Linked DNA regions of Oreochromis niloticus. The protein of the gene in region 1 purifies or fractionates together with the protein of each later gene. This does not show direct contact. Links are inferred from orthologs where the notes say so. Each region holds a gene or a part of one and is shown on either strand. Other genes may lie near its edges.

Region 1 (16,412 bases):
GGTAAAAAAGACAAGAAAACTCGATCTCATAGATCTAAAAGTAAGGAAGAGGATACTGTAGAGAAGGATGACAAGCATGATAAACACAAGGCAAAGAAAAAAGATAAATCCCATAGTCGCAGTAAAAGCCGAGAAAAGAAAAGGTCAAAAAGCAGAGAGAAGAGTCACAAGCACAGAAGTGATGAGAGGAGAGGTCGCTCAAGGAGCAAAGATAGAAATTTTCATGAAAAAGAAAAGGAGGCAGAATCTGATCACAGTAAAGACAGAAATAAGGGTCATGAGTCTGACAAAAAGCATAAAGAAGACACAAAAGGTAGAAATGGTGAGAGAACCAGGACAAAGTCCAGAAGTAAAGAGAGAGCTGCCAAAAAGGATGAGCGCAGATCAAGCAGCAGAAACAAAGACAGAGGTAGGACTTCAGCATCAAAAGAGAGAGAAGAAAAAAGAGAGAAGGACAGAGAGAGGGGCAGAGAGCGCAGCAGGAGTCGGGAAAGAAGACACAACAGTGAAAGGGAGAGTAAGAGACAAGGAACATCCCGGGATAAAGAACATCGAACAAGAAGCCCAGACAGAAGTAAGGCTAGGTACTCGCACAGAGGCAGGCGCTCAAGAAGCAGGAGCGGCAGGCGAGACCAAAGCAGGGATCGATCCTCTCATAGAAAAGTCAAAGACAGAGAGGCTGCCGGCCAGAGGAGGAGACGCAGTAGCAGCAGCTCTGAGAGTGACAGAGAAGAGAAAAAGAAGAGTCATAGGAGCCCAGATTCTAAAAGAAGAGACAAGTCCAAAGACCGAAGGAGCCCGGCCAGCCAAAGACCAGACAGTACGAAAGGCAAAGATAGAAATGATAGCAAGAGGAATCGGTCGGGGTCTAGCTCCAGCTCTGACAGCAACTAAACGCGCGATAATGTTCTTATTTTTTTTAAGGTGTACATGTAGTACACAGCGTCAGCATTCCATCCACAGTGGGGCACAATCACAGTCCTCATACAGTACAAAATAAACAGTTCTGCCAAAGATAATATGACTGTAAAAGGTTCCTCAAAGCTAATTACTTGACTGTTAAATAACTGTGGTATTCAGATAACAGAGACTGTAGAAAAGACCTTAAATAAAATGGCTCATACCTGCAGGTGCAAACTGTAGCATCCTCAACCTTTGGCTGAAGTTTGGACTTTATGGGGATTGTGAGTTTGTCCACCACTGAGTGTGTAACACAGTTAACTGGTAGCTGATGTTTTGGAGCCATTCTAGAAACAAAGGATTTGTAACTACAAAGTGTGTGTACTGCACTGGCAGGGCTGTAAACGTACCAGGTATTCTTCTAAATCTTACATTATTTAATCGCGTGAAGTCAGACTGGAGGCAGGTTTTCTTTTCATGTTGTTTTTCTTGTTGTTGTTTGTTTTGGTTTTTTCTGAATTTTACATCATGTGGTAAATTCTGTAATTCTGTCTTGACTTTAAATTTTCTCTGATTTCAGTTTGTTTAAAAAAAAAAAATTTAAAAAGAGGGGGGGGGAGATTTTGATGGTATCCTCCTCACTCAAGTTATTTTAATGTCAATCAGCCTGGAAGAAAACACTCATGTCTTGCATGCTCTTTTTTTGTCATTGTGTGTACACCCATGATGTTTCTTTTGTTTTTTTAACCATTTACTGTAATTCTGTTGAAAGAGAAAATGTTAATGCCAAGCTGTTAAGTATAAGATAAAAGCAGTTTGTTTCTGTTCCGTTTGGTTCAAACTGATTTTAAGAACTGCTGGAGTGTTTGATGAATTAAAAGGCTCTGTTTGCTTTTAAGTCGTTGTTTTTTGTTTTTATTCTGTAAATGCTGTCCCAGTCACATCAGCGTTAAGTGATACCGTTATTACGGAAAAGTGACACTGAATTATTACCTTTTAGTGAGTCAGTGGTTGTATCACTCTGTCATTGCAGTGGAAATCAGTTCCCAGAGGTTATTTTTGGTTTGGATGAGTCATCTTTCCATAATTTCAAATAACAAGTTCTGAGTGATGTGCTTTTGCTCCCCTCAAAGCAAGGGAGTATGAATTCTGTTTGTCTTAGTCTAGTGTCCAGTTTTCAAGATATAATTTTCAAATTTTGTGTGATTGTAGTTGCCATAACGGCTAAGCTGATGTAATTTTTATTTTTTTTTCCCTAAAATGTTTAATCTTCAACCTTCAATATATAGTAGACCTTGGGGGACATGAATACCAAGATTGGATAAGCACCCTTATTCTTAGCACCCAAGGTTAAAGTTGACCTTAAAAAACAAATTCTAGAAACCATATCAAGTACTATATAAAAGGGCATAGAGAGGGCTGTGTAACACACTTTTTGTATTATAATACAATGCCCCACAACGTCACATTGATACATTCATGCAGAGTGAAACTTCAGTATCTTAAAATCTCAAGTTTTATAGTTTATATAGCCAAAGTTTGAAGCAGAATTGGCTGAAATCATATGGGTAAAGATTATAAAATGCACTTTTAGTAAATAGTGCTTAAAGGTCAAAGTTCAAGATCATTCTAATTATGAAAAAGCTTAAGTTTCCATTGGATCATCTTCGAACTTCAGAGCAATATATTAGTTATTGGGGCACATAAGCATGTTCCTTGTTTGAGCTCTTTAAAACATTGTTGTTTAAGAAGAACATTATATGACTTCACAATAACCACAAAAAGATTAATGTACTACACTACATTTCTATATTAACCACGCTGAAGTCAGCATAAAGCAGCAACGTTTTAGTGTAGCCCTTTCCCTTCAGGGCAGTGGTCATGTGGCTCCCACAGTTTGTGTCATGGACCCCTAGTGGGCTATGAAAGTACTGCAAGTAGGGCACAAGAGGTTGAGTTACTACAGTGGTTCCCAAACTTTTTTTGCCAGGCCCCCCTTTTTTACAAGAAAAATGTTCGCGCCCTCCCCGGCCGCACAAACACATCCTCCAAACACACACACCCATATTTTGTTTACAAACTCCATTGCGATTTATTTTACACCTCAAACATTTAGTAAACAATTAAGCAAATACAAGTAAACGGCAATAAATTACAGGTAGTAATAAAATGCACTACTAACTCTTTTACGCTATGTCCACACCTACCACGGGTATTTTTGAAAACTCAGCTGTTTCTATGCGTTTGGGCTTTTCGTCAACACCTAAACGGCGTTGCGATTCACCGAAAACGGAGATTATTTAAAACTCCTTTTTTGCGTTTACGTGTGGACGAGGATTACAGAGTTCCTCACGCAACGTCAAAGGTATGTGCCTCTTTTCACGTCACGCTGTGCGCCACGTTATTGTTTACATGAGATGAATTGCAGAATGGCAGATAGAGACAAAATACTGTTAATCTGACTATCTTCAGGTTTTACACGCTTACATATACACACGCAGTTACTGTCCCTCCATTTAGAAAGGCAGAGGGGTGTAATTATTTTACGTGTAGTTGTTTTTTTTCCTGTGTAATAATATTCAACATTGCTATCAATACATTTTTCAAAAATGTCTCTCTGTGCAAAATGGGTTTAAACACATAAAGTTAAAGTTATATACTTGAATCTTCATTATATGAAGCTGGAGTCCTATGTTATTTTACATTTGATTTCCAAATCTGACAGGGACAAAATGCAGGTGACAGAACTGAAGATAGGGGCTTCCGGGATGTGGATGTGAGACCTAGTGTATCGGCTGGTTCAGGTGTAGGAGGGGTTTGAGAGTTTGTTCATGAAACCTGATAGCAAGCAGGTTAGGTTCACACAGCCTGATTCAGGAACAGTGTTTCCCTCATATCAGAGTTAACAAACTCACACTTACTGAACCTGCTTTCTGGAAGTGCACTCAAACTGGATGTAACCTATCACCATGTGAATCCAAGTCTTCTCTTGGCATCCTGAATATCTACAGCTTCGTGAAGCTTTTTGATGTTCTGGGTGGCCACTGAGACATATTTGGGCATCTGAGCTCCAGTGCGGTCCTGAACAAGGTAACTTGGCCTGACTCCACTAAAAACAGGACTGGACCCACCTCCGATCCCTTCCCTCGCAGCTTTACAAAGTGGAAACACGTTTCGCTGAGCCTCTGCTGCAGCGTTGATGATTTGCTGTGAATACTGCTGGAAGCGGTTTTCCTCTTCAGCGATGAGTTCTGCATTCTTCGCTTCAAACTCATGTTCCTGTTCTCTCAGCTGCTGAAGTCTGGCACTTTTTCCAGCCTGTATTTGCAAGGCAAAGGCAAAAGAGTTTCAGTGAAGAAGGTGCAAAGTTTCTGATCAAAACTTATTACGTTTTGGCCGACATTACCATTTGCACAGCATTGAAGTCTTGCACCTCTCTTTCTTCTTCTCTGATTTTCTTAACCTTTCGTTGCTGCTTCTCAGTAAATATTCTGTCAGCCTCTTTTTTGGCCTGCAGTGCTTCTTGGGCCTTCTTCCTCTCTATTTTGTCCTTCTCCTCCTTCTCTTGTCTCTGGTAAAACAGTTTGCGTTACAGACGTGATGAAATTTTGTGAGCAACAATATGGATTTCTCTACACAGAAAAGACACATTGGAGGATATATATATAGAGGAAACACACTGGATGTTTCATGCTCGGTTTGAGATACCATTAGCTCTCTGTGTACACTGATGGACTTCAACATCTCAGCTTTCTTCTCATCCTCCTCCAGTTGCTGCTGCGCCTGTTTCGCCTCCCTCTCTGCGACAGCCTTTGCGATCTTCTGCTCCTCGCTGACAGCTTGCTCCTGCTGTGTGACCGTCAGTCTGTTTATGATCCTTTCTTTACGTGTCTGGGCCTCTCTATAGAAGAAAATGCATACGAGTATCCATTATATTTAAGAAGATTTAGCACTGGAGATACTTTGATCCAGAGCTATTTATTGATATATACTGTTTTACTCAGTCTTACCTAAGCAGCTCTTTTTCTTTTTCTTTGCGTAACTTCATGATTTTTTGCTTAGTAGAGAGAAACAGTTTCCTTTGCTCCTCTTCAGCCTCCTGTTTCTGAGCATCTGTGGCTCTTATGAGGTCTCTGTTGGTGATATGCTCCTGTAAAATGCATTAAATAAACTTAATGTCCAGTGAAATAAATACTAGATAAGATTCAAATAAGAGCCTACCTGGTGAGCTTGCATGAGGCTTCTTTTCTGATTTGCTTGTCTTTCTGCCTCCATCCTTCGCTCCAGCTGATGCAGCACTTGGAGACGCTGGATTTCGTCTCCATCCTTCTTGCTCTCCAGCTTTTGTCGCTCTCTCAGCAGCTCATTTTCCTTTATTCTGAGGAAAAGTAATCATATAATTGTCATTGTCCTGCGGTTGTGGTGTTTTGGGGATTTTAAATTTTTAACACATACAGCTGGAGCCTGATTGTTAGGTCTTACTGGTTTCTTAGGTCTTGTGCAGCAACCTGTCTCACAAGCTTCCTCTGCAGTGCCTTCTCCTGCTCCTGTTTCAAGGCTTCATCCTCTCTAGTCTGTACCATATGCAGAAATGCTTTGTCCACATCTATACTGGCACTCTTTCTTCTTTGTTTAAGCTCAATCTGAGCATCCCTCTCCTTCAGCACCTCTGTCAGCAGGAGTGCACTCTGTGGAGGAAGTAGTAATCATTTGTTAGGTGAAATTGTGCAGTTTCATACTCAAGTGGCATAATAATGCATAAGCGAGACTAACATGTAGTCCTTTGACTCTGTCGGTTTGACAGTAGAGCTGAGTCTTGGCTTTTTCAATAATCTCCTTCCGCCTCTGCTCCTGGTATTTTGCTTCTTCTAAGTCAGCCAGTCTCATTTGCTCCTCCTCAATTTCCTTTCGAATCTTCTTTTCCTGCAGCCTTTTCAGCCTTTGTCCCTGTGACAAGACATATGGATGCAGTGTGTTTTTGCCTTTGTGTTCCAGCTCTTTTCAACCTAGCAAGTGCACATGACTTTAATAGTATAAATTTAATCTTAGGAAATATCTCTCAACATAGAACTTACATGGAGGGTATCAGGCCAAAGTTTCACCACCTCCTGTGACTGCAGGTGTAGGTTCTCTCGCTGTTTAGCTGCCTCTCTTATTCTCTTCTCTTCTTTATTAACCCCACTCAGTTCATCTTGAATCCTCAGCCATTCAGCCTTACTTAAGACAGTAACATGTCGGAGGTCTGGTGGCTGCATAGCTCTAATGGCTTCATCTGCTGACACATTAATAAAGAAATTACCATTGGAGCATGTGCTACAGCAACCACTTATCACACCAAGGTTCCTACTAGGTCCCTATAAGATATTATACTCATATAGAGAAGAAACCACAACATCCCACTTGTCAATTAACTGACTTTCATAGCTGTACTTGTTGGTTGAAGTGAAGTGAAGCAGGATCTTGGAAAGACTTTAAAATCAAAAGCACTTATAGGCTAATAGCCTCGACAAACAAATAGCTTAAATAAATGAGCATTACATTCGGCTCCATCTAGAGTTTTTGGTTCAAATAATGGCTTAAAACGGCTCTTCTGGTAGCAAAGGTTAACTATATAACTAGACTGAATAAACTTTGAAATGTTTGTTTGGCTCTCACCGTTTTTACTAGCTCCTCTTCGACGGCCGTACAGAACCACCGCTGCCATTCCTATCGGATGGAGTGGTTACTATTATAGAAAATAATGCCAAATACAAAAAACAAAGTAAAGGTTTTATTTTATTTTATTTTATTTTATTTTATTATAGTTGTAAGCTGACGTTCGTCAAACTGTCCGCTCTACGTAGCCTGCGTTTGTTGCGTGGTATCCAGGCAATGACGGAACCAATCAGAATCATCCTCTAAATACTGATAGGCAGAGCCCTCGGAGGAACAGCGGGGCTCAGGAAGTGATTAGCCTGGAGTATGTGAACACAGAGAGAAAGCTCTGTTTTCTCAAATTAGTAGGCAATAAATCCATTGATCTACAATAGTTTTTTATACCGCAGTCAAGTGTATATATACACACTTGTATACACTCTGAATTCATTATGTAATAAACTAGGGAAAATGAATGGCGTGTCACACTTTATTTTGTGCTCTTTCCTGAGTTATACACAATTTCTGCATCGGGATGCATGTTCAGTTATCTCACTGACACCAAGAGGAGAAAAGTGGTTGTCTTAACTTAGAAAGAACAATCTTGTCTATGGTTTAAAACAACATCAAATATGTAACTTAATTTTTTCTAAGCACCACATTTGTACTTTTATTTTTTTCTTACAAACATAGACCAGAACGCTGAGAAGTATAATGTTTGGTTTATTAAAAATAACAAGCAGGTAAAGTTTTTCTCATTGCAGAGTCTTCAGGCTGAGTCCTCCTGTGAGTCACGTGCTGGGAGTTAGTAGAACTGAGCCATGGTGCTTTTACTACTCTGATGTGTCAAAATATGCCCACTGATAAAGTTTGTAGTTATGAAAAAAATGTTAAAAGAGTAACTGAAAGTAACGGATGAATGGTTCATAAAACTTTTGTTTACAGTATACTAATTAAAGATGATGGGAAATCTGATGACAAAGATGGAGTCTCTGATTTGGACAATGATTTTGGTTTGTAATAGGACTCCTGGCAATTTCAGATTAAGTCATTTTGTTGTCTTTACTCTTGTTTAAGATCTTGATCTATGAAATCCATTGTAAAATCTGGTCCTTTAGGCATTTGCAGCTGTGTGACCATGACAGATGTGCTAAATTTACTGAGCCAGCAGTGGAACATGGCCTGTCATGTGCTGCCTAATGAGTCAGGTGATGAACAGTGTCTGTTGAATTAAGACTCGCCTGACCTAACTTACTGTTAAATGGGGACAGTTATGGACCAATTTGATCTTTAGGTGATCACATCTCTCAGATCCTTTACTTTGCTACTTATGTTTAAGCTGTTATAGTTTATACTCAGTTATTTGATAGAGTTTTGAAGGTTATTCTGAACTGTGTTTCATGCAAGGCTATGCTGGTAAACTCTGAGAAACAAAATATGGATCTAGAAATAAGCATAATCAATACCTCATGATTAGAATTTGTTTTCATTTTGTAGCAGAGTTTAACTGAACGTCGGAAATAAGAATAATATTTTTTTTCTTGTACAGCGCACAATTCATATATTATACCTGGTATAACTAAAAACTATGCATCGTTTAGAGTCTCGAAGTAGGGACTGGTGTATGGATAAGCTACACTGAGTAATATCATCTAATAGTTGCTATACTGCCTGTATTACATTTAATAAGCCATTGTTGCTCTATTGAACTTACAATATTTTACCTTGTTATATATATAAAACTATCCCATCATATAAAATAAAACCTAGCAATCAGTTAAAGAAAATCTAAAGTTGACAAATAAAAGTATGTACAAAATAAAACACCCTATCCAAATGAAATCCAAGTAAATAGACATTTTTAAATGAGGATTTTATTTATCGAGGGAAAAAGGTTTACAAGCCTGGCCCTATAGGAAAAGGCATAATGAATTAACTGTGATAAACCATTGATTTTGGAAAGTTAAGCTTCATTAGCTAATACTAAGCCATATTGCTGCCAGACTTGTTGAATCCAGAAATCACTTAAATAGAACCTGTCTGACAATGTGAAGAAGGCTAAAAGCTCTCAAAATCTAAAGAAACAACAAAGCGCTTTACACTACATTCAGTCATCCACCCATTCACACACATATTCACACACTGGTGATGGTAAGCTACATTGTAGCCACAGCTGCCCTGGGGCGCACTGACACTGGCGCCACCGGGCCCTCTGACCACCATAAACCTAATGCAGCATTTCATTTAAAAACAAAACATCACGTCAGCATGGTGGTGGTAGTGTGATAGCCTGTGGCGGCTTTGCTGTATTTAATAGAACCACGAATTCTGCTGCGAATTTTGCCACATGGTTATATCCAGCAGGACAGTGATATAAAGCACACCAGCAAGTCCACCACTGAATGTCCCCCCAAAAATAAAAGGAAGGTTTTGAAATGGCAAAATCAAAATCCGGACTCAAATCTGTGATTGAGATGCTTTGACTTGACCTTAAACTGGCTATTCACACCAAACGTCTCCCACCGTGGCTCAGTTAAAGCATTTCTGCAAAGAAGAGTGGGCCAGAATTCCTCCATGTGAAATGTGAAGGACTCATTGCCAGTTATCACAAAAGCTTTATTGCAGTTCTTGCTGCCAGGAGTGGCACAAGTAGATATCAGCTTTAGGAATAGCTTTTTTCACTTAATAATTTGAATTATGGTTTCAAAAATGCTTTCTGTATTTACATGTATATGTGACAAATATGCAAAATAATAAATAACGCTGATCCAGTTTAACAGGAGGCTGTTGCTAACCTTGAACCAGCACTACGTGTATTCTTTCTAACGAAAAGCCAGTATTAGCCTCAGTTAGAGTACTTCTGCACTTTTATTTTGAATGCAGGCCATTTCCAGGATTTCCAGTATGCATTGTTCGGATTTGACTTGAGAGGTGCAGGAGAGGCGGATCCACGTAGAAAGGGGGCGTCTTAAATCCGAGACAACCATTCAAAACCGGCAGAAGGAAAAAAAAAAAAAAAAAAAAAGCACTCCCCGATCCATCCATCCATCTCTTCTCCCAGATCACTCAGCACCCACCGGTGGTCCACCAGCGAGCGACCCGCAGAGAAAATACCAAGATGGCCCCGATCTCCATCAAAACCGTGCTGATCAGTGAAAGTGTAGACCCTCGCTGCAAGGCGATTCTGGAGGAAAATGGCATCCGAGTCACGGAGAAGCAGAACATGACTAAGGATGAATTAATCGCGAAGATAAAGGTAGTAATGGCACTCTGCGTTATATTGCGTAATTTCTTCACATGCACCCGCTGTCGGGGTTTTTTTTTCTTCCTACAAAGCAGGTTTCTATAAAGTTTAGTCTAAAGGCGCTTTCGCTCTAATCGGTGCGCATATGACGTTGCACGCCTAAAAAAGTTTTTGCGGACTAGCAGCTGGCATTTTTTATTCCGTAACACAATTCAACCTGACACGTGTAATTAAATGATCCCGACAGCCAGTTAAAAACTGATTTATTCGGTTAGTACCGCCCATTGTGAAGCTGATGCAACTCATTCGTGGTGTTGTGACTATTGCCCACAGTCCGACCTCCTATCTGCTGCAAGTGCATCGGGCGGCCATTGATTCCACTTCTACCCCCAACCCAAACTATTCCATTAATCCCACATTTTCTCCACAGAGCCAATGTGTGTATGTCTGAGAATATTTGAACAAATTCGATTTGTCAGATTAGAAATGATGAGCTGTTGGAGCTGAATGGACTGTACAGGGCTGGCTCTAAAACTTCTGGTGCCCTAAATGACATAAGGCCCCTGCAGGGGTGTCTTAACATTATTGTACACCCTGGGGCCGTGGGCCTTTTGGAGCCCCCTACAGTCCAAAATGTATTTATTTTTAAAAATTTATTTTAGCCTATTCTCAATAAACATTTCAATGTTGAATGACCATTGGATGGCTGTATTTTCTCAGCATCTAGTCTTAAATTGGAAAAAAAAAAAAAAGCTCTGAAATGAAAATGGGCTGGCTGTATTGCTTAAATAATGCCTGTACATCCTTGTTGGGCTTTCTAGCAAGAAAAAGCTTATGTTCAAGAATTGTTTAATTATTTATTATACTTTTGTCCTCTAGAATAAAATAAGTAAAGAATATACACCACAAGGGCAACTCAAAGTGTTCATCTCTCACACTGAGCTAACTGATCTAATAACTGGGTGCAGTACAGGCTAATAAATCACCATGCAACAAATGGGATAGAATTTACATGAAGATCAACATAAGTGGCTTAAAAGTGTTCTTTCTAGTTAATAAGAATGACATCTGGTAATAGTAGTGTGTGTACACGAACCAGATGTTGTTTGGCACTCTGCTGACAACTATTTAGCAACGTTATCAGTTATCAGTCAGATGTCATTTTGCAGCCTGATCAGTTTTGACTGTTGCAGTTTCAACCATTTTTTTTTTTTTATTTCTTTAAGATCTTTGTTTTTTGTTTTGTTTTTTTGTTTTTAGCTTTTTAGTCTGTATTTAGAGAGGAAAGTGGAAAGAAGATAGGGAAATTGGGGAGCAGGGGAAAGACACACAGTGAATGGTCTTGGGGCAGATTCAAACCCAGAACTCGGCACCTGAAACAACACAACACAGCCTTCTCCAAGCTTTGACCAACAAAGTCTGTGTCATGTCATGACATGTCATGGCACATGACATGACACAGACAGAGAGATAAAATCACATTTTATTGCATGGTTAACAGGTGTCCCCCTGACAATGGGAAACTATAGAAGTCCATGTTACATTGTAACAGGGGGAAAAAAACACTATAACCTGTCTTGTAACACTTCTGGTTGGACAGAGGTAAATCATTTGGCATAAAACAGGCCAAAGATCAGTGTTAGAAATGAGGAATTAATGAGAATTATTTAGTAAGTATATCATATCCTGGCATAGGATTTTTGACTGGTTCACAGTTTTTATGCTGCTCAAAATAACTGACACTCATTGACTCTGTGTGAACTATTGGGTGGATTTAAAACAGAAAATTAACATCAGCTCTGCTTTTCTCTGAATCTCAGGACTATGATGGCCTCGTGGTTAGATCTGCAACCAAGGTAACAGCTGATGTTATCAGTGCTGCTAATAATCTCAAAATTATTGGAAGAGCTGGGACCGGTGTGGACAACGTAGATGTTCCTGCCGCCACCAAAAAGGGCATTATTGTCATGAAGTAAGTCTCCACTTTAAATGCAGATTTGGTTCACTGTGCAGTTCCAGTATACCATTAACTTTACTTTATAACTGTGTTTTTCTGCAGCACGCCGAGTGGCAACACGATCAGTGCTGCTGAGCTGACATGTGCTCTGCTCATGAGCCTCTCAAGGCAAGACGAGTCATGTCATTTCTGAACAATTGCCGAGAAGCTCTGTGGTTCTAATTGAAGTGCAGTAATATTCCATTATTACGTTGATCTGTTTTCAGAAATGTGCCACAAGCAGCGATGTCAATGAAGCAAGGGAAATGGGATCGCAAGAAGGTAAAAGCATTTTCGCTTGCTCTCCAGTGTGCTGTTTGAACGGCTGTTTGCACTGGGAGCATCAAGCCATTACTGTTGCATGGTTGGCTCCATTGTCCACTCAGTTGTGAATAATCAGATGGGACACTTGGATCTGTGTACTTTCAGAGTTTTGGAGGTGGGTCATTGTTTTGCTTCCGATTTTTCAGTTCATGGGTGCAGAGCTGTACGGCAAAGTGCTCGGAATAGTCGGACTTGGAAGAATAGGAAAGGAGGTCGCCTCGAGGATGCAGTCATTTGGCATGAAGGTCAGCACACAATTGCACAATATCTGCTCACAGTTACTGTGATATTTAAAATAAACAGGCATAAAAAGATGACAGGTTGTTTTCTCCTTAACAGACTATTGGCTATGATCCAATCACTCCTCCAGAGGTGTCAGCCACCTGGGGGGTGGAACAGATGTCTCTGGAGCAGCTCTGGCCCCAGTGTGATTACATCACTGTCCACACTCCCCTGTTGCCCTCTACTGTTGGTGAGCTAAACACCAATCATATGTCGGTCGATTATAACGGTGGTGCAAAGTCCATCAGCAAGATGTGGAATTTCTTTTTGATGTGCCCAAGGTCTCCTTAACGATGAAAGCTTTGCCAAGTGCAAGAAAGGCGTGAAGGTCGTGAACTGTGCAAGAGGGGGCATCATCGATGAGGAGGCTCTGCTCAGAGCCTTGGAGTCTGGACAGTGTGGAGGAGCAGGCCTTGACGTCTTTGTGGAGGTTTTTCTTTTTGTCAAATTGCTTGATTGATTTTTTTTATTAATTAAAGAGAGGTTGTTGCTTAAATTTCACATTGTCTTTATGTTTTTGGCTACAGGAGCCACCTAAGAACCACTCACTGGTGGAGCATCCCAACGTCATCAGCTGCCCTCACCTAGGAGCCAGTACGAAGGAGGCTCAGGCTCGCTGTGGGGAGGACATTGCCCTGCAGATCGTGGACATGGTGAAGGGAAAGAACCTGGTTGGAGCAGTAAGTCCTACATGCTCTTCTTAATACTGTTTTTAAAAAATAACTCCTCAGACCAGAGTTATAAATTTGCTAAAGGGCTACTGAAGTGATTGTTTGGCGGATTTGTGTAAAATGAATCGCTTTGGAAGCCTAAATATTCTCAAGCTTCCAAAGCATCACTATCAACAAATCAGACTTCATACCCACAGTTATCTGTACAGGAAGTAGTGGACTGTTTTACAGACTGTCGTGCAGCAGGTGAGAAGAAAACAGGAACCTAATGGATATCACAGCAGTGGTTATTAGCTTTCTTTGTTAAGCCAGGCTTTCTGCTTCGGGTTCTGTCCACACTTGCCATAGAGTGGGAATTTGATGCATCATTTCACTTTTCATCTGCACAAAATGGACAGAATAAGTCAAGTATTATCAGATAAGCAGATGATTATAAAGCTGTGAAGAATATAAAAAATAAAAATGCACCACTGTTTCTGAAAATAAGACAAGTGAGCAATGCTCGCAGAAAACCGTCAGTCTCAGGAATTTGTAAGTTAAATTTTTCTTTATTTCTTTTACTCCATGTGCCCTCAGTGCTGCAGTTTATTTTGAATATGACAGCTGCACGTTGGACATTGGAGCTTTAAAACTGATATATTTTATTGTTTGTTTTGTACAAAAAGCATAAAGCAAACAGTGGTGATACATACAAAGAAACGACTGAGCAGGAAACAGTATCAGCTGATAATCCAGTTTGATCACATTTGGAGGGTATTGGTAAAAAAAAAAAAAAACCCTAAAATAAGTAATAACCTTTTTTAAAAAAAAAGAAAAAAAAAAAAGATTTTGTAACAGATTTTAAACTGTTCTCCTTGTGCAGGTAAATGCTCAGGTCTTGGCTAGCACGTTCTCCCAGGAGTCGCAGCAACTGATTAAACTCGGAGAAGCCGTTGGATCTGTTCTTCAGTCTTTCAGCGCGTCTAAGAAACCATTCAGTCATGTTCAAATCACTACTCAAGGTAACATTTCTGGTTTAACCAGTTTCCTGTAACCAAGCGACCTCAAGGAGAGTTCATCTCATAGGAAGGAAAAATACTAGGAAGCAGTTTTTCCTCCCTCTGCTGGTGTCACGGTGAAATTGTCAAATCAGTCGTGTGGGTTTATAAGCTATTATAGGAAAATCATTTCTGTGTAGTTTCTTTTGTCTTTTTTTTTTTCTAAAACAGTTTTACTTTAAAATATTTTGCCTGTAATTAAAAGCTTTTTGCACTCTGCTCTACAAACCAGGGGATTGCATGAAGTCCTCCACTGGTTACATGACTTCAGCTGTGCTGGTGGGTTTACTCAATCATGAATCAGGATGTTGCCCGAACCTCATCAACGCGCTGAGCTTAGCTAAGGAAACTGGAATCACGGTACACCTTCAATTTATTCAGGCAAATAGAACATGAGAAAAACAAGTGGAATATATGTCAAATAAATCTTTTTCATTTATCTCAACTTCTTCAGGTTAACCAGGCCCACTGTGCATCTGCCGGGGCCGCTGAAGGCGTGTGTAAGGTGGAGATTGCGGCCACTGGCTGCAGCTATAAAGCCAGCGGTTCAGTTCAAGGTGGAGTGCCTGTCCTCCTGGAGCTGTGCAACAGCGTGTTCAGACAGCCCATCTCTCTCACTGGAAATCTGCTCTTCTTTAAGGCCCCTGCGAATCCTCAACTCCTGTCCTCACTGGCTGGTAAGAAAATGTAGACGTCAAAACTATAATCTGTGATTATAAAAGATTTCACTGTACACAAATGGCCTCCACAGTCATCACATCTCATTGCAGTAGAGCAGCTTTGGGACATGGTGGACGCATAGATGTGCTGCCAACAAATCTGTAGCGACTGTGCAATTCTATCATATCAATATGGGTTTGTTTCAGCACTTGTTTGAATCCATGCAACAAAGTATTAAGAGAGAGAAAAAGCAGGTCCAAACCAGTAGTGCAATAGAGTCGCCACCTGCTGGACATTAGAAAGAATGCACAAACAGTCCCTCATTGTATATTCAAATGTATATTCAACATTCACAATCAGTAACTGAGTTTCTTTTCAGTCTTTTACAAATTAATTTAATTTAACTTCCTTTAGTTCCATCAGTTTTGGAGGCTAAGGCAGTAACCTTCAACACAATGTAAAGAGTTAGAATTGTTTCTCACTTCAGAACAATTAAATGGAAAGTTTAGGTTGGTGGTAGATAGTTTGCATGTCTGTTAAACTGTCTCTCTGAAAACAAAGCATGCATTCTTGTTGTTTTTCCTCAACTGCTTCTTTGCGCACATTTGTTTTTGAGTTTGAATTTAGATGAAAGCTGGCCCTGAGTTATGAGAACTAAATTGTAACCTTCACCAATGTTTCTTTTCTTTCCATTCACACCTATTTTCTCTCTTCAATTGTTCTTTGTTTAGGAGTGTTGGCCACAGAGGGAGTGGAGATTGAGTCTTTCAGTGCTCCTGCAGACCGCTCTGGGGATCTGTGGTATTGTGTGGGGGTGTCCTCTCTCTTGAGAGATCTCAGTGCCTTGAACTCCGTGGTGAAGGATGCAGCGCAGCTCGGCTTTTAAATGACAGCGCAAAGCACTTACAGAGGCACTGAATAGCATTCAGGATGTGAGATCTGTAACATTTTCAGGAGCGTCTAATATAAATGATCCGGTCTTTGTGTTTACAGCTAACAACTCGTTCAGAAGTTGCAGTTTAAAACCTGCATTTTATAACATTCCAGTGTTTAGATGTTTTTATTAACTTGTAGAAGTAGAAATTAAATAAAAATGTTCGTTGTACGCTGCTCAGTTTGTTGTTTGATCCTTTTAAAGAAGACTTTCTAATTTGAACGCATTATATTTTTATATTTTAAAAATACTTCACTACACAGCTCGAGTTCAGTACGACGGCCCTTCAATAATTCCTCTATTAAAATGTTAAATGTGTGATTTGTGTCAGTTCTATGGGTTTTTTTGCCCCACTGTTATTAATATTTGGTAAGATAGCACAACACATCCCAGAGCTAGTGGAAGAAAGCTGCTTTGTAGGTTGTATAAGCAAGCAACAACACAACTTTTTTCACATGTAAATCTGTTTCTGTGGCATCATGGAAATCTCACTCACTTTAGATCATCTCATCTCACTACTTTCCACTTCTCAATAAGAATGCATTTCAGCTCAGTGTCTGAAAACAGAGCAGCCAGAAACAGGCATTCACTTATATTTTCTGTAGACCTTCAGAAAATATAAGTCCTACCACATGCAGTGCATATGCTCAGTTCTCTGAATCCTTAAGCAAAGACATATTTTACTCCATCCTCCTAGAAAACAACAGTGGGTGCCACAGTAGTGTATTTT
Region 2 (16,085 bases), on another chromosome or scaffold:
TATGTTTTCTGTTGTATTAGTAGGGCGTACATATAATTTCTTTCATGCCACACGTCAGCCAAACTGACCTCGGATACTATAACACTGTAGAGGTCACCGTATAGACCGGCTTGCTGGGCGAACACATAGTAGGATGGCGTGGAGAAGAAGATGCCCAGGGCTCGTGTCAGAGACGGATGGGTGCAGTAAGATAGGGACAGATTGTATTCACGCAGGAAAGAGGTGAGCGAGGTAGACTGACGAGGGAAGAACTTCAGAGCCATAGGAGTTCCTGATGAGAGTAAACCAAGATGAGATCTAATTAGCTTTAAAGTTCTCTTATAAACAATCTCGCCACCTGTGGCATGTGAGTGTTGTCCATCACAGACACTGTGAACAAATATAACTTCCCCTTTGGGGAGACCATGTTTCACGGCTACACCCCAGTTGCAGCAACTTTATCCGAGAGAATGTAAGAAAGCTCTTCATTAGAGCAACAGAATACTGTCAAAAGAAGGATCTGTTCTCACGTTACTGCAGAGCTGACCCCACAAAAAACATGTAGTTTCTTTACAAGAGAGAAAACTGAGTCTGAGGTGCTCAGTGACACTTTTGCAAATACTTCAGATAGGCAGCGAGTTTAAACGTGGAAAAATGTTTAGTTAAAGAAGCTCCCGCTGAACTGAGTCTTGCACTGACCTCTCTTTCTGTGCACAGCCAGCATGACTTTCCCATAGGATCCTTCTCCCAGGAGCTTCACCATCCGAAAGTGTTCAGAAACTTTCAGATTGGGCATGGATTGCGCCGACAGGAAACATAGCTCGTCGAGTTCCTGAGCTGCTGCAGCCTGGGAACATATGAAAGCAGCACACACATAAATCCAAATTGATGAAATAAGAGCTGCAGCTTGAGCGGCATGTGTTGATGTTATTGATAGATAACTTCAGAGAATGAAGTCTGAATCTAAGGGGGTGCACGTTCAGATGTGTTCCCTGAACCTGGGGCATGACAAGACCTCAAGACTCTAAACTACACACATTACATTAGCTGCAATAGTAAAAATCGTTTTTCTCATTCTATGCAAGTTTATTGGCTTACTATTTAAGTTTAAGATGTTTGTGCCATCCCAGCAAACATTTGGCAGAAAATACTGGAACATAATGGGGTACATAGACACTCCAGACATCAGGATGTCTTATCAGGATGATCAGAACATTTGGTGATTTAGTTTTTCATCCCTATTGTTACTCGTTGCTTCATGAAGTCTCGCCCATGATGATTTACTTTGAAGTGGATCCCCCACCACGTAGCCCATAACACCAGGGCGGGTGTGAACAACTAAGACAAGAGCTTAACGCAAAAGATAAAGAGACTCCAGAAGGATAACATATTTTTATTCTTGACCTTCCACATGTTGCATAACTGTGATGTCCCTGCAAACACCTAGTAGTATTTGCTGTGCTGGTACCAACAATATTTCTGGTTTGAATTAATATAATAAGCCTGATTGCTGTTACAGAAAAACATTTCCAATCACTTACAAACTTACAATCATTCCAAACGGTTGGAAAATTGATTAATTTCAGCTATGAGTCATTTTTAAGGAAACTGATAGACTTGATGTGCAGCCAATACTGAAAACAACAAACTGAAGGTTTTGACCAGCCTGAGAGCATTACGTTGTGCAGATCAGCTGTATTTTAAACAGACTAATGATGGCCCGTTTGAGGATTGATACTGCACAGATTAATGCTGCAGGTGCAACAACAGACTCCGCTCTGCAGCAACTAAAACATTTTATATCACAAAGAGGATCAAACGTGACATTTCAGACAGCTTCCACATGCATGAAAGCAAAATTTTGAAATGTTTTTAAGCACATTTCCATGAGTTTAAGCCTCAGTGGGATTCCGTTCCCGGAGCTGTTAACACGAGTTGAAGTTATCGCATTGTCAGATTCTTTTGCTGCTCCTCATTCCACGCATGCTCAAATGAAAATGACTATCATTTATTCTATCTAGGTCACAGTTTAGCTGAGTGATTTAGTGACTCCTACACATTAATCACACAGAAGCATCTAAGACACTGGTTGCGTGCTGATATTTGCCATGTCCTAAGACAGTAAGGTGATTATTAATTAAAACCCTAATAGTTAATGGCTTTTGGCACAAAGCAGTAAGTGTTATAATGTTTTATGTAACTCATCACTAACTAATTTGAAGTCCATTAGAAGTGTCAAGCAGTGGGAGTTGAAACACCACTTAACGATACAGTCTGAAGCCAAAGAGAAATGCTGTAGCAAAAAGTCATCAGTGTATTCATGCAGCGTCTGCATGCCATCCCATCAGCTAGAGGCAAATCATTAAGGCATTACAGAAAACCTCCAAACTGTCTGCACATGCACGTTATAACTGTTTTCTTGATAGTAGTTTTTCCTGCACTCACATGTTGACATTATGAGTTTGATTAAAGTCACAAATATGTCTCTGAAAACTAGATGTAAAGGTTTGGATGGACAGGAATAATGTGCAATACTTACTGTCATTTTCTGCTCAGTTGGATGATCTCTACTCAGTTTTCTCTGCTCTTTTCACCATCTAATCAAAGACTCTTTGAAAACTTGACAGGCTCCTGTTAGGGAGCTTCTGTTCAGGGCTGCAGATCTACTGAATGTTCGCAGCTAGACTGATAATCAAAGTGGATATTTTTGCCTTTGCTCCCTTGTTCCATGCAGTAGCACAGCTGACTTTATAAAGGAGGCTTATAGATGTTTACTGGAGACCAGGATATTGGCTGTGTGTTTCTCCCCATGAGACACATGCTTAACTCCCTCCCTCTCTTTTCCTACTCTTGTGCCAAGACTCCCGCTCTCTCCGCCTCTGGCCTGTTATGCTGGCAAATACGCACGAACCAGCTACAAGGCATTTCAAACCTCCTACTCCCCGTGCCCCCCTCTCTACTGCACAGCACTGCTAATATCCCACCTCTTCCAATCTGTCAGTCAGCCTGACCACATTAACCCATCGCTCTCCTGCCTCCCCTCTCCTCAGCTGTCATTCACCTTGTACCCCCTCGTTTTCCTTCCATGTCTCTTTCTCACCCTCTCAGCCTGTCTGAGTCAGTGAATTCCCCACACAGTATAGGATTCCTCTTTTAATCAACAGGTATGCTGGAATGATTGGAATAGGCCAACAAGCTGTATCCATGATCCCTGAATCTTACTGGGATTACAGCATATAGTTACAGAGCATTTTATTGTTAAATATTGATGTTCTCTCTTCCTTATCCGTGATATCTGCCACTTTCTGATGGAGGCACTTAAAATCGATCAAAATCAAAATGTACTAAAATATAATCATCACATCAATAAATGGAGGTTTTCATCAGTCATCATAATTCCTCTTCTTGTCACACAACACTATCTGACTTACTCTCTTTTCAAGCACATATTAATCATCAGACTCATATTAATAACATCTGAAATCTTAGTTTAAAAGAAAGACATAAAACTTAATTCTATACTTGATCTAAATGCCAGCTTTATTTCCTACTTAACACCAGCTGTAGGTCAGGCCTTTCCTCCCATAGCTTCAACACCCTCCTCCTCTTTCTGTCTGCTCAGATAGATTTCCCCTGGTACTACATACTATAGACATATTCTTGCCACTGGATTGTTGGCTGTGCATTATGTAACACAAACACTGGCTGCTATCACAACAGGCCAGTCCCTTCTCAGGTTACTAACACCACTGCTTGTGCTCAGCTGGTCATCACCGACGGGCTGCATGTTTGTGCCTGTACCACAAGGCTCTTTGGCCTCTGCTGTGACAACCAACTTCCCCACTCCACCAACAAAACTCTTACTGCTGTCATTTTGATGCCAAGAGGCAGTCGGTTTCATTCACAAATACTGTGTGTAAAGCATGCATGTAAAAAATGCAAACAGATTGCCCACTTGGTTGCTAATGATGTTTCACACAAACTTTCACCTTTGCTTTACTGGCACATTACATAATATACAGTAGATGGATATATATACACAATGTGGACCCCATTTGTCCAGGTTCCATGTTCTTCGAGGGAATGGTCTCTGCTTATTATACCTGAACCCTTGACCCCTGCAGTGCTGGAGTTATGCTCTGGTTGGGATCTTTTCTGGCACGGGTTAGTCTTCTTATCTCCCAGAGGAATGGGTCAGTGCAAATTAGTACAAATAGTCCAGCGTCACCTTCATCCTGCGATGACACATTTCCATGCTAATGAAAGCAGTCTCTTTCAGGATGTCACTGCCCTTATCCACTGGGGTTTGATAAGTATGATAATGATGGTAATCACATCATCCTAACCAAATCATTTATATCAGGCTTCAGAAACAGACATGCACAGTCACCTCACCAAACAGCCTGACTTTCTTGTGCATTTTGAAATAAAAGAATCCTGTTACAACTTGGTATGTTTGTGTTTCCTTATTATTTTATTTTTTCATCTATGGGTAGGACATTTTGTCCTTATTTTCTGTTTCACTGATGAAAGTTCATATTAAACATGGCTAAATGTTTTTTAAAAAAAACAAAAAAAAAACAGGTCAGTGTGTGTTAAAGTGATCTATAAGAGCCAAAAGTTGCTCTAAAGGCTTAGGTTATGACATTTTTTTTCTATTGCTGTGATGTCACAGGGATGTCTTAATATGGGCATGGGACTGTTGTGGCAGCCAGACAAAATAAGATTAGTTTAACAACGAGCTAAAGCTGCTTGTTTCAGCCAGCGGATGAAAATGAGGTGTTTCACCAAGACTGAGTAGAACCATGCAAAACCATGCAAAGCTACTCTGATACAGTCTAAACATAGACAAAATAAATAAAACTGAAAGTAGGCAAACACAACTGATTATATCCATCACACAGTTCTTGTTGATGATAATGTAAAAAATATTACTAGGCGTTCCACTTATGAGACAAATGGAGCAATATTTGATGGGTTTATCTCAGTAACACGACCTTCTCACAACAAGAAGGTCCTGTGTTTGAGCCTCGAGCCTCCAGCTAACAGAGACAGGTTGTTTTATCTGGAGTTTGCATGTTCTCCCTCTGTACGTTTCTCCCACAGTCCAAAGACATGTTAGCAAGCATGCCAAGTTAACTGATGATTCTAAATTGGCCATAGATGTCAATGTGAGTGTGAATGGTTGTGTCTCTCTTTCTCTGTCTCTAACCTCGCTCTAGTTCACAATAAAATGAAAGTGCCTAAAAAATGGATTGCTTCAGTTAGTCTTGAGTTGATGCAGAATCTTTCAGTCAGTTTGTCTTGGGGCAAAGTAATAGTTAGGTACTGAGCAGCCGATAAGCAAAGTATTACAGGTTCAGTTTTCAAAGAAACTGATTTTCCATCAACTCACTCATTGGCAAAACAGGAATGAATAAATAAATACATAAATAAATGGAAGCAACTGCATTTACTGAATAGCCGGGAGCTCAAAAGAGGCCAACAAAACAAACTTATACAGACTAATACAAAAGGCAATTTCAGCATGATGATAAATTATTAATTCAAGTGATTGTGACAAAAGGACTTGATACGTACACAATGTTCCAGGGTTTAGCCTACAAACAAATACCTACTCAGAAAAAAATGTGTCTTTAGTAATACATAAATAACTAGACATAAAATGAACAGAAACTGATCTGAGAGTTCATTTGTCAGACAAGAATCCACAGTGATGAATGTTATTTACATCCAGAAAGTGACAGCACAGGCTTTCAAAAGAGCATCTCGTGAGAGCTTCGGTGTTAGTTTGTTTGATTCCTCCTCTTCAAAAGCCCCTCCTCAGGCTGAGTCCAGTTCTTTCTTTCAAAACAAAGTAACGATTCTCTCCTGACACGGCTTGGGGGAGTGGGCACAGAGGAAATACTAAATAAAGTTTCAGCGTGACATAATAGTGGAACGACACCTGTCAGAATAATTTATACTTGTTATAATCACCGGCATTTTGCTTGTCCTTATAAGATTAGTGTTTCCAAAGCAGAGTAACATTACAAGTTTGCTTGAGTCACGCTGCAATGTTTTCTTCAATCCCCTCCTCCCCAGAGAGAAGGGAAAGATAAAGGGATAAAGAGATGAAGGATTAAAGGGGAACTTGTAACACACATGCATGCCAGCTGTTGTTCTGATCCAGGAGGCTTGCGGGGTATTTTTCATGGTCCCAGGGAAGGCAAAGCTGGTCTGGTGTCACACCAGATAGTTCAAGGATGCCTCTCTGTGGACGGTGAGGGTCATTGCATTTTTGGGGAGAAATTGTTGCTGCGTGTTAAATCTTAAGATTTACCACAGATTTACCACCAAACCTATGGTGTGACTTTCAGTTTTCATTCATTAAGAAGTGAAATACTTCCTGCTCAAATATGTCTCAATGTTTTCCGTATCATCAGCGTGCGTATGGGTCTTCACACTCTGACAAGAAGGCTTGTATTCAGTTAAACAACATCAAAACAGAGTCTTAGTAATTTTACTTAAATGATGCAATGTAAAATAAATAAATAAATAATTTGTTCCTTTCCTGATTTTTTTTCTGCATATTTTTTTAATACACCATAAAATCGAATTAGTTTCCAGAACTTAAAAAAATTATGCAAAAAAAAAAAAAAAGTAGTAAAGCATACTTAAGATAACTAAGTTAGGCCAACTTATTCATTGTGGGTACACAGTACTAAAAATAACTTGATTTTTCTGAGTAAGCAATACTAAATGTTTATATTTTTAACAAAACTTACTGGTAACTTAAACTGAGTTCTAACAAGCTCTGAGTTCAGCCTACTTAGTATTTTTAATTAAGCAGAATATTAGACTTTACAGTGTACTTACATGTTTCAAATTGTCAAACAAATTTTAATATTAGATAACGATACCCTGAACAAATAGAAAATGCATTTTTTAAATGATGGTTTCATTTATTAAGAGAAAAAAAGGCTATGCAAATCTATCTGCCCCATGTGAAAAAAATAATTGCCCCCTAAAGCTAAGGGTTGGGCCAGCATTGGCAAGAACTGCAATCAGTCATAACTGGTAATAAGTCTTTCACATCCCTGTAATTTATCTTTTCAGAATTGTTTTAATTCACACACAGTGGAGCGGTTTCAAGCATGAACAAGCTTTTTATGGTCAGGTCAAAGCATCTCGATGTGATTTAAATCTGGATTCTGTCTAGGCCCCTCTAAAACCTTCATTTTCTTGTTTCAGAGTTAGGTTTGCTGGTGTGTTTTGGATCCTTGTCCTGCTGCATAACCCAATTTCACTTTAAGTTTCAGGGTATAAATTGATGGCCGGATGTTCTCTTTCAGGATTTTCTGGTAGAGAGTAGAATTCATGGTTCCATCCATCAATTATGGCACGTAGTCCAGGTCCTGAAGCAGCAAAGCAGCCCCAAACCATCACATTAAAACTAACATGTTTGAATGCTGGTATGATGTTCTTTTATGAAATGCTGTGTTAGTTTTACTTCTTTTATGACATCTTGAATGAGTCGTTAATGTGCTCTTGGAGTAATTTTAGCGTATTTCACTTTGTCAGACAGGAACTATTTAAGTGATTTCTCGGATCAACAGGTTGGCAATAATCAGTCCCGGAGACAGCTAAAGAAACTGAACTGTGCTTTCTAAAAAAATGTGCTTCACATTAATTAATAAGGGGGCAGTTCCTTTACTCAGGAGGCGCCAGCTAGGTTTGGATTCCACTAATAAATGAAATCATCATTTAAAAACTGCATTTTGTGTTTCCTTGGGTATTCTTCGTCTAATATTAAACTTTCTATCACAATCAGGGCTGAACTGGGACAAAAAATCGGCCCGGGCATTTTGACTAGAGACTGGCCCACCAGGTATTATAGGAAAAGCCATAAAGCCTTTGAATGAAAACAAACGCTGTTGTGACAGTGATGTGCACTGTCTTGTTGGTATATGTATGATTTCTGTACATTTTACATCAGATAAAAACTTTGGTGGTAAGATTCAGATAATTATTTATTAAAAGCGAGACATTTTAAATGAGAATAAGAAACAAAAGTATTTCTTTGTGCCCCCCTTTCCCTGTTAATGCCCTACCTGGCCCCCTGGCAAAACCTGCTAGACCCGCCCCTGCACAGTTACCAGCTGTCAGCTACTTAGAAAAGGATCCTGGTGTTATTTGTTCATAACTTCCCTTCAACTCATTCATGTCACCTAAAAGGTAAACCTGTTTCTCCATCACCTGTTCAGCTCTGATGATTCAGTAAGGACATTACCTGGTTTCAGCTTCATGTTTCCCTCTCACCAGAATATCCAAACCGATATCATAACCAGCAGCTTTTACGGCTGTGGCTCCCGCAAACCTCAGCTGATACTAGAAATTAATATTAAATAAATTCTAACAACAGCTGATCAAGCTTAAACCTGCTGCTGTTGTTTAGCGCAACATCCGCCGGTTTCCTCTTTCTGGCGCAAAGTGGGACATAAACAAACAGACGGGACTTGGTCAGAAAAGCCGATCAGCTGATCATTGATCAGTTTCATGATTGAAGTAGCAACAGGAGAGGGAGGGGAGAGAATGAGAGAAGAAGAAACAGCTGACAGCATAAAGACACAGAATAACTGCAGCTTTGTGTCTTTTTTTCATTCTAGCTGAAGTCCGGGACAAACTGTTCCTTTTCAGCTTATTACGACACGTGTAATATTTTCTCTGAATACCAGACGATTCTGTTTTTTACAGGACGGTTGGCAACTCTACTAACTAACCGTATGAATAAAATAAAGTTCACTATCAGTAACATCATAGCACCCACCCAGCTGTATAGAAACTCTGTAAAAAGTCAGCACAATGAAAATAAACTATACCTAAACTTGGTTTATATCTGACCCAGATAGACTGCAGATCATTATTACCTGAAGTTCAGTTCACCTGACACTCGGACCGGCGGCCACCTCGGGTCTCTCCTCCTCCTGCCTCCCCTTTCCCTCATTTACCTGCTGGCTTCTATGGAAGCTCCGCCATAGCCACCACCAAACAACTAAGTTATTTTTACATTTTACACATTGGTCACACCACCTTTCATTGTTTATACCGTTACAAAAAAACAAAAGACAAAAAAAAGAAAAAAAAAACAAACATAAAAAACCATTGGCCCATAAAAACGAAAAATCACCATCAGCCCACTGGGCAAATGCCCGGTATGCCCGATGGCCAGTCCAGCTATGATCACAGTTTAAAAATATAAAATCAGGGGCAAGTTCTCCATTTTATTGCCATTAGTGAAACCAGTTCCTCATTTAGGATTTTTAGAAATGAACCCAGAAAGACACCTTCTATATTTTCAAACCGTTTTCTTGTCTATTAGCCACCCAAAGTCTTTTTTTTTAAATCTCTGAGAAGTCTGGAGAACGTGGAACAAACGTGCGAAAACAAAAATAATGACAAAAAGAGGATGTGAGTTCTTCCCTTTGACACAAAATGAATATTAAAAAGGAAATTTATCTCAGAACTTTTAAAAACATACCCCCTGTCTATCAGTGAATGAATTTAAACGGTAATAAACAATCATTTCGATATCTCTTTATTTGAGACTTTCTTTTCGTCTCAATTAATAATTCATGAGTCTCCTACTACCATCACAGGAAAACAAAGCTACAGGGGGTGCGGTCTTTCCTGTAGGCGAGAACGGAAGCGGAAATTCGGCCATCTCCTCGTACATTCAAGCTACAGCAGGGTCAGTAGACATTTATTTTAGATATTTATTGTGCCGGGTTGTCAGCCTTTTTTGACTCTTGAATGCGTGTATTCAGTAGTGTCCCAAAGCAGGACGTGAAGCTGGAGCTCGTACGGTCTGTCAGTCATGTAGCGAACTAGCAACAGCTAACAGGCTAGCTGGCTAATGTGTCCGAGCAGCAACAGCAGCAAAGTGATTTCTTTTATCAGTCAAAGTGGCAGGTAACCTTCACCTTTTTATCGAGTTTGGGATAATTCCGCGCTAGGACAGGAACGACTCATTCTGTTTAGTTCCCCCGCTTTTTTTTTTATACCTAACTAAATCCCTCCGTGCACCTGTTTGTACTACACCCAGACTTTGTGATAGCAAAGTGATCGCAAACAGTTTCGATTAGCTTAGCTGAGAATAAGAGAGTTTGGTGCTCACCTTTAGTTGATAAATTAAGCCTTTGGTACATAAAAATGTTCGTTTTAAGACCTGTGTGTTGCATTTTACAGCGGACATTAGCGTTTGCTAGCAGCTAGAAATACGTTAGATGACAGTTTGGTTGCTAACATATCAGTTAGTTAGCCTGCTATCTTAATAGGTGTGACAGGGAGCTCAGCATCTGTCTGGCAGGGTCGTTAACGTTATCTGGGTGGGGGTCACATCTTCGGGAGGCTGTGCAGTGTTAGCTGGATATGAGTGATAGGAAGAATAAATCAGTTAACACTTATGCCTGCTTTTCGCCTTTTGTAGTTGGCTTCAACCATACAATCCATCTTTCATATAGAGCAGCTTCCTGTGACGTGACTTATGAGTAAATAAGCGCTACAGCGTTTATAGCTTGTTCTGTATGTGATCTAAGTGAGACATCTGTGTATTTTTAGTGCTTAAGGCTGATAAACTGTGTACTGTAGTGCTTCTGAGATACTTACTGAAACTTTGTGGGGGATTTTTTCCCCTCAGTGTGGCTTCAGACTGACGATATCTGACAAGAGGAGATATATAAAAGGTATGTTATGTCACTTATCATGGTTATCACGGATTAGCTGGCGTGTCTGAACTTTGGCACTGGGCTTCAGGAGTCTCTGAACTGACTTTTGCAATGGTTGCTTTCTGTTCAGTTATGCAACATGCTCTCATGTTTATCTGACCTACAAATCTGAACCCCTTATTAGCTGTCAGGCTGATTTAAAACACTTAATGATGTTTGGAACGGTTATGTTTTTCGTATAGTATCCGAACTAAAGGCTTTCATTTTGTGCCATTTAAAATGTGTAATCCAGTGGTTTTCACACAGCTGACATGGTGTGAACAACTGTTTTAGCTGTGTTGCCAGATGAAAGCATTTTTGAAAGTGACACTAGAGCCAAACCATCCTAAATCATCCAATTTTTAAGAACATTTTCTGCTCAACCTTGTCTGATGTGCCTCTCTTTTTCGTACATTTTCACTGCATTTTTAATATTATTAGTATATTTTAAACTTAAACCGAGTCATCTAGTGCAGTAGGTCTTGAAAATTAAGAACGTGCATGTATTTAACACAATTTTCTCAGTTGAAACTGGAAATTGGATTAATAATTAACTAAGAATTTCATGTCAAAACAATATTCTGCACGTTTCATTTTGTGGTATTTTAAAATAAAATTATATATCACTCAGAAATTATTAAGTCGTCTTTTGAAATGTAATTTTCTTTCTTTTTCACAAACATGGGAATTTACAAGATAGCTTTCATTTTTCTCCATATTTTAGTTACTCTGTATCTGTCCGAAATTACAGATCCTGATTCATCATTTCGTATAGTAAATTTCTGTTATTTATCTTAAATATTTACTGAAGTGTGCGGACTCAAACATGGCCTCAAATTTCAAAGTGTAAGCTAGAGAAGTATTTCATATATTAATGTAAATTCAAACTTTGGACCATATAATTTTTAGGGATATCTGAGATGTTCGAGCAGAAGGCCCACTTTGTTTTGTGATGGAATGACCCAGCAGTTTTCAAACTTTAAACCACTGTTTATATCTGCAGAAACTAGCCTTTATCTCAGCTAAAATGGCGTGAATGACTATTTTAGCTGTTGTGTCAGATGAAAGCACTTTTAAGTGTGACACCTACAATTTTTTTTTGGTCTCCAGTAAACTCCGCAAACATGCAACTTGCCTGGATCCCCTTATCAGACACTTGTACAAAGTCCTACAAACTGACTATGATTCACATTTAGTTCTTTACGATAGACTAAGTTTCTCTCAGGTTTCCAGGTTTGTCTTGCTTGTGTGGCACAGCGTTCACATTTGTTAAAACCTTACAGAAAATAAAAGCCTATTAACATCCCAGTCCAGCTGAAGCCATAAAAAAAGCGTATTTTTGTGGCTTATTTCCTCCTGACAGTTCTCGATCTTAAAGTGGTTGTGTGTGGTTTTCTTTACACAAGAAAGTGATCAGTTTTACTACTGCACAAATTGGATCCTTCTCACTGTCAATCAGGTCATTTCATGTCAACTAATGTAGTACATCTGAATTTCATTGGTTACTTATTATGCAGTTACAGTAATATGTATATGTGTGTGTGTGTGTGTATATATATATATATATATATATCTATCTATCTATCTATCTATCTATCTATATATATATATATATATATATATATATATATATATATATATATATACATATATATATCTATCTCAATCAATCGTTTTTTTTAATCCAGCCACACTTTTTGGGAACCACTGGTTTAATCGTTGCCAACAGGTTAATTTATTACTGCAAGTTACAACTTATTTTAATAAGTAACAAGCAGTCAGGGCTGAAATCTTATTTTTCTTTTGTTCTTTAACTAATAAATCTCCAGTTTGTAACCAGCATGCTGTTTGTAGAAGTCAGTTTGTTTACTTTATTGGTTCAGTATGAAGAAGGATCTGCTTGAATCTGGAGAATCGGAAAGAGCGGCAATGTTTCTTGCCAGTGCTGGTTTGCCAACTGGGGGAAGATCCACATATAGTGGGTGGGGAAAAATTGATATTTATTATATTATAAAGGAAAGACCATGTACTTCCTCTCTTTATTTTTGAAAGTTACCAGTACAGAGAATTCCTTAGCATCAACCAGTAAGATGATCAGTGTTTTCCAGTTGTTTTCCAGAGTGATTGTTTTTGTAGTTTTGCCTCTGTTCACAACAGAAAAGTGTGGCTAGCTCCTTCAATGGTTCTGTCGTGTCCAAATACTTATGGACCTGACAATATTTTTGTGGCACAAGCTGAGGTAGCATCTGTTACGCAAGAAAATGCAGATTGTGGCAGTGAGAGCTTGCATCTGGTCAGCAACAGTGTTTCAACCTGATGCGTGAGCAATCAGATACTAAAAAAAGCTCAGCAGGTAGTGAGAGATGTGCTGCTGATCCACAAAAATCATTCTGCGTGCCTTTTTTCTTTCTCCATCAGCAAACAGGATAAGTCCATGGTTTTTTTAGACCAAATTCAGGAACTGTCAGTGGTGTTGCAAAACAGAAACTATACGTTATTGCACCATAAAGTTTCCCACACTTGTTGGGTATCAATCTCTTCTAATTAAAATACTCATTTAAAATCTGCCTCAAGTTTATAGTTTGTTTTAACCATGTGTACCATTTTCTTGACATCCATACGTGGATCTGTCCCTGATTATTATCAACAGTGGTTGATGATATGTTGTTTTTAATAATCTGTTATTCTGCTCTTGAGGCCTGCAAATATGGGTTCAAGATTAAAGTTTTTGGCAGTGTAATGATTAGAGTACCTGGAGTTAAGTAAACTGAACCCTTCTAAAATATTTATCTTAGTGCTACTCTTGTATAGTTTTACCCTGGTGTGAAGCTGGAAGTTGCCTAGATGTTTAGTTGTGAAAACTAAATTATTGACTTTGTTAAGGAATCAAGGTTGAGAAGCCAAATTGTTTGCCATCTTTTTCTGTAAAAACTCATCCAGTTAAATTCACTGCTACAGTTTAGGTCTCTGTCAGGAATTTATTTTGTTTTCATTCACACTTTCTTGCTCTTTTTATTGATTGATTTTATGTTTTGCATAGATGCACAGATTATAACAGCTTTTTTGGGGGGGGGGCAGCTAAAAGATGTAATTTAACATTGTCAGTAAACTGTATTTATCAGTTTGGCCTGGGGTAAATTTTCAAAGAATATGTAAAGAAGAGAAAACAGACTTTAAAACTCACTGAATAATTATTTATAGTGTAGATTGTAATATTACTCTTCACTTGACAAGTAAATAAAAAGACAAAAAATATCTCCATTGGCTTTCAGTCAGATGGTCATATTTAAAATGACTACATTCCTATTTTTAAACTGTTCACTCTAATAAGAGATAAAGCTTTTAACTGATAAGTTGTATCTCTGTGAAGCATGTGTGGATCAGCAACAGATCATGTGACATTTGTTGCTGAATATCTCCTTTGTCCTTTTGTTTTTTAAAATTTTTATTAATGGTTACTTTAGATTTAGTCACAGATTCAGTTTCAGCCTGCTTGTTGTGCTGTAGCAGAAGTATCCAAGTCACAATGCATTTACATTAATCTCAATCCTGCTCCCTAGTTTTCATCCCCCTTAGTCCGCGGTTTTGGGACCCAATGTTGCCACGGGAAGAAACAGACAAACCGTGACAAAGCACTCCATGAATGAGTTGCAGCCAAGATAGAGGAACGGCAATATAGCAAGAGGAGAGACCCTTTTCCTGCATCAGTCTTGTGTAACAGGTGCGCACGATGTTGTCTTTATTTCTCGTTTCATGCTGATTTGGGTTACCAGTGCCATCTTCCACTCACTGATTGTAGACTCTTGTATACGCACACTTCCTCACGAGTATTTCAAGTGTTCATCGTCTTTCTTGCTGGATGTTTTATTGGTTGTAAGTCTTGTTGATTTGTGTGCCCTGGAAATAAACATGTTATTTGTATTGTATTAACTATACTTTATATTTCTTCTTGCCCATCTGCTGTTCAGCTTTCAACAGAGCTCGGTGGCCAGACCGTTGCCATGTCGACCTCATCGCTACGGCGACAAGTAAAGAACATCGTCCACAACTATTCAGAGGCTGAAATCAAGGTTGTATCTCTTGGCTTCTTAGCTGGCTTTTCTTCTTCTGTTTCTTTTTCTGCACACATTCCCATTTTGTATCTAGGACTTAAGTGTAACAAATGCATCTCTGCCACACAGATGAGATTATGCGGCTTCTGATAATCTAATATTTCTTTGGAGAACCTCCTCACTCTTCCCCTTGTTATGTAGAGAATGAGCTAATCTAATCATATCGTACCCATTCATTATTCTCTGCAGCTTGTGATCTGATTGAATTTATTTTGTTACTCAGAACACTGTGCACCAAGATGTCACAAAGTAATGTCTGAAATAATTCCCATCTCAGTCGGTTTGAGTGGAATAATTAATAGTTAACCCTCTTGTGTGTTTTTGTGTCCAGGTAAGGGAGGCGACGTCTAATGACCCATGGGGCCCCAGCAGTTCCCTTATGTCAGAGATCGCCGATCTTACCTACAATGTCGTGGCCTTCTCGGAAATCATGAGTATGGTGTGGAAGCGCCTCAATGACCATGGCAAGAATTGGAGACATGTGTACAAGGTTTGTGAGTGCAGAAGTAAAGTTGGGAATAACAATATAGATTAAACTCAAGACAGTAAACACCATGGGAAAACTCCAAAACACAGCATATTATTGTCATTATTTCATCCAAAGGAAATAAACCATGCTACTTTAATTGTAGGTATTGAAAAGTCAGTTGTTTAGAACAGTTCATCAGATATCTGCTTTAATTAAAAGGTGAACCTGGGATCCTGGAGTGTGCAAGCTGTTAAATTTTTCTGCATATTTCTGTCTTTTTGCTTAACTGAGAGACCCAGAGGATCCAAATGTTCCTTCAAGCATTATTTTCAAACTAGTCTCATGGCATTTACACACACAGAGCACCACTGTGACTATTGGTCGACGTAGCATTTATCCCACGCCTCCTTCATTTGGTGATTGGGTGCCTTCCTAAAAGCTGACAATGGCGAACACAGTCTTTTTGAAATCTGTAAAGATATGGCACAACTTGTACAGACCTTTGGAATGAAAGTGGCTCAGTTATAGCAAAAATCATAATCGCATTGTATTCAATAGTAAGATTACAATTAACTTTTGGTTATGGAAAAATAGACTGACTAAACGTAAAAGAAAAATGATGTCTTTTATGCAAGTGTATTTCCATAAACTTTAATTCAACTGAAAAACTAAATAAACAAATAAATATGAACCAGACTAAATCATCTGCCTGGCTGGAAGAAGAGGTTACAGTAAAGGAAAGGAATATCCAAAACAGAGTGCAGCATAATAATCTTTCTA

Evidence for each region.
Region 2: the proteins of phgdh (region 1) and epn1a purify together in Homo sapiens (affinity purification with mass spectrometry; 3 studies listed by BioGRID and IntAct, with this or other methods). This does not show direct contact. The link is inferred for Oreochromis niloticus from reciprocal best matches to the Homo sapiens genes PHGDH and EPN1.

What each region holds. Positions count from the first base shown.
Region 1 is NC_031987.2:16,019,033-16,035,444, forward strand, and holds phgdh (D-3-phosphoglycerate dehydrogenase), read left to right. Parts: upstream 1-9,547; 5' UTR 9,548-9,652; coding exon 9,653-9,790; intron 9,791-11,598; coding exon 11,599-11,750; intron 11,751-11,837; coding exon 11,838-11,903; intron 11,904-12,001; coding exon 12,002-12,056; intron 12,057-12,244; coding exon 12,245-12,343; intron 12,344-12,437; coding exon 12,438-12,570; intron 12,571-12,661; coding exon 12,662-12,810; intron 12,811-12,907; coding exon 12,908-13,060; intron 13,061-13,913; coding exon 13,914-14,052; intron 14,053-14,320; coding exon 14,321-14,448; intron 14,449-14,542; coding exon 14,543-14,765; intron 14,766-15,479; coding exon 15,480-15,634; 3' UTR 15,635-16,001; downstream 16,002-16,412. Other genes in the region: ppig (peptidyl-prolyl cis-trans isomerase G), read left to right, coding at 1-894; cfap210 (coiled-coil domain-containing protein 173), read right to left, coding at 3,865-4,218, 4,307-4,471, 4,627-4,801, 4,911-5,050, 5,122-5,278, 5,383-5,588, 5,674-5,847, 5,976-6,172 and 1 more. UniProt on the Homo sapiens protein: Catalyzes the reversible oxidation of 3-phospho-D-glycerate to 3-phosphonooxypyruvate, the first step of the phosphorylated L-serine biosynthesis pathway.
Region 2 is NC_031976.2:22,689,032-22,705,116, reverse strand, and holds the start of epn1a (epsin-1), read left to right. Parts: upstream 1-9,601; 5' UTR 9,602-9,709; intron 9,710-9,720; exon of another isoform or gene 9,721-9,930; intron 9,931-10,135; coding exon of another isoform or gene 10,136-10,213; exon of another isoform or gene 10,214-10,651; intron 10,652-10,657; 5' UTR 10,658-10,703; intron 10,704-14,284; 5' UTR 14,285-14,445; intron 14,446-14,692; 5' UTR 14,693-14,725; coding exon 14,726-14,794; intron 14,795-15,167; coding exon 15,168-15,326; intron 15,327-16,085. Other genes in the region: putative serine/threonine-protein kinase SBK3, read right to left, coding at 69-271, 679-826, 10,136-10,213. UniProt on the Homo sapiens protein: Binds to membranes enriched in phosphatidylinositol 4,5-bisphosphate (PtdIns(4,5)P2). Modifies membrane curvature and facilitates the formation of clathrin-coated invaginations. Regulates receptor-mediated endocytosis.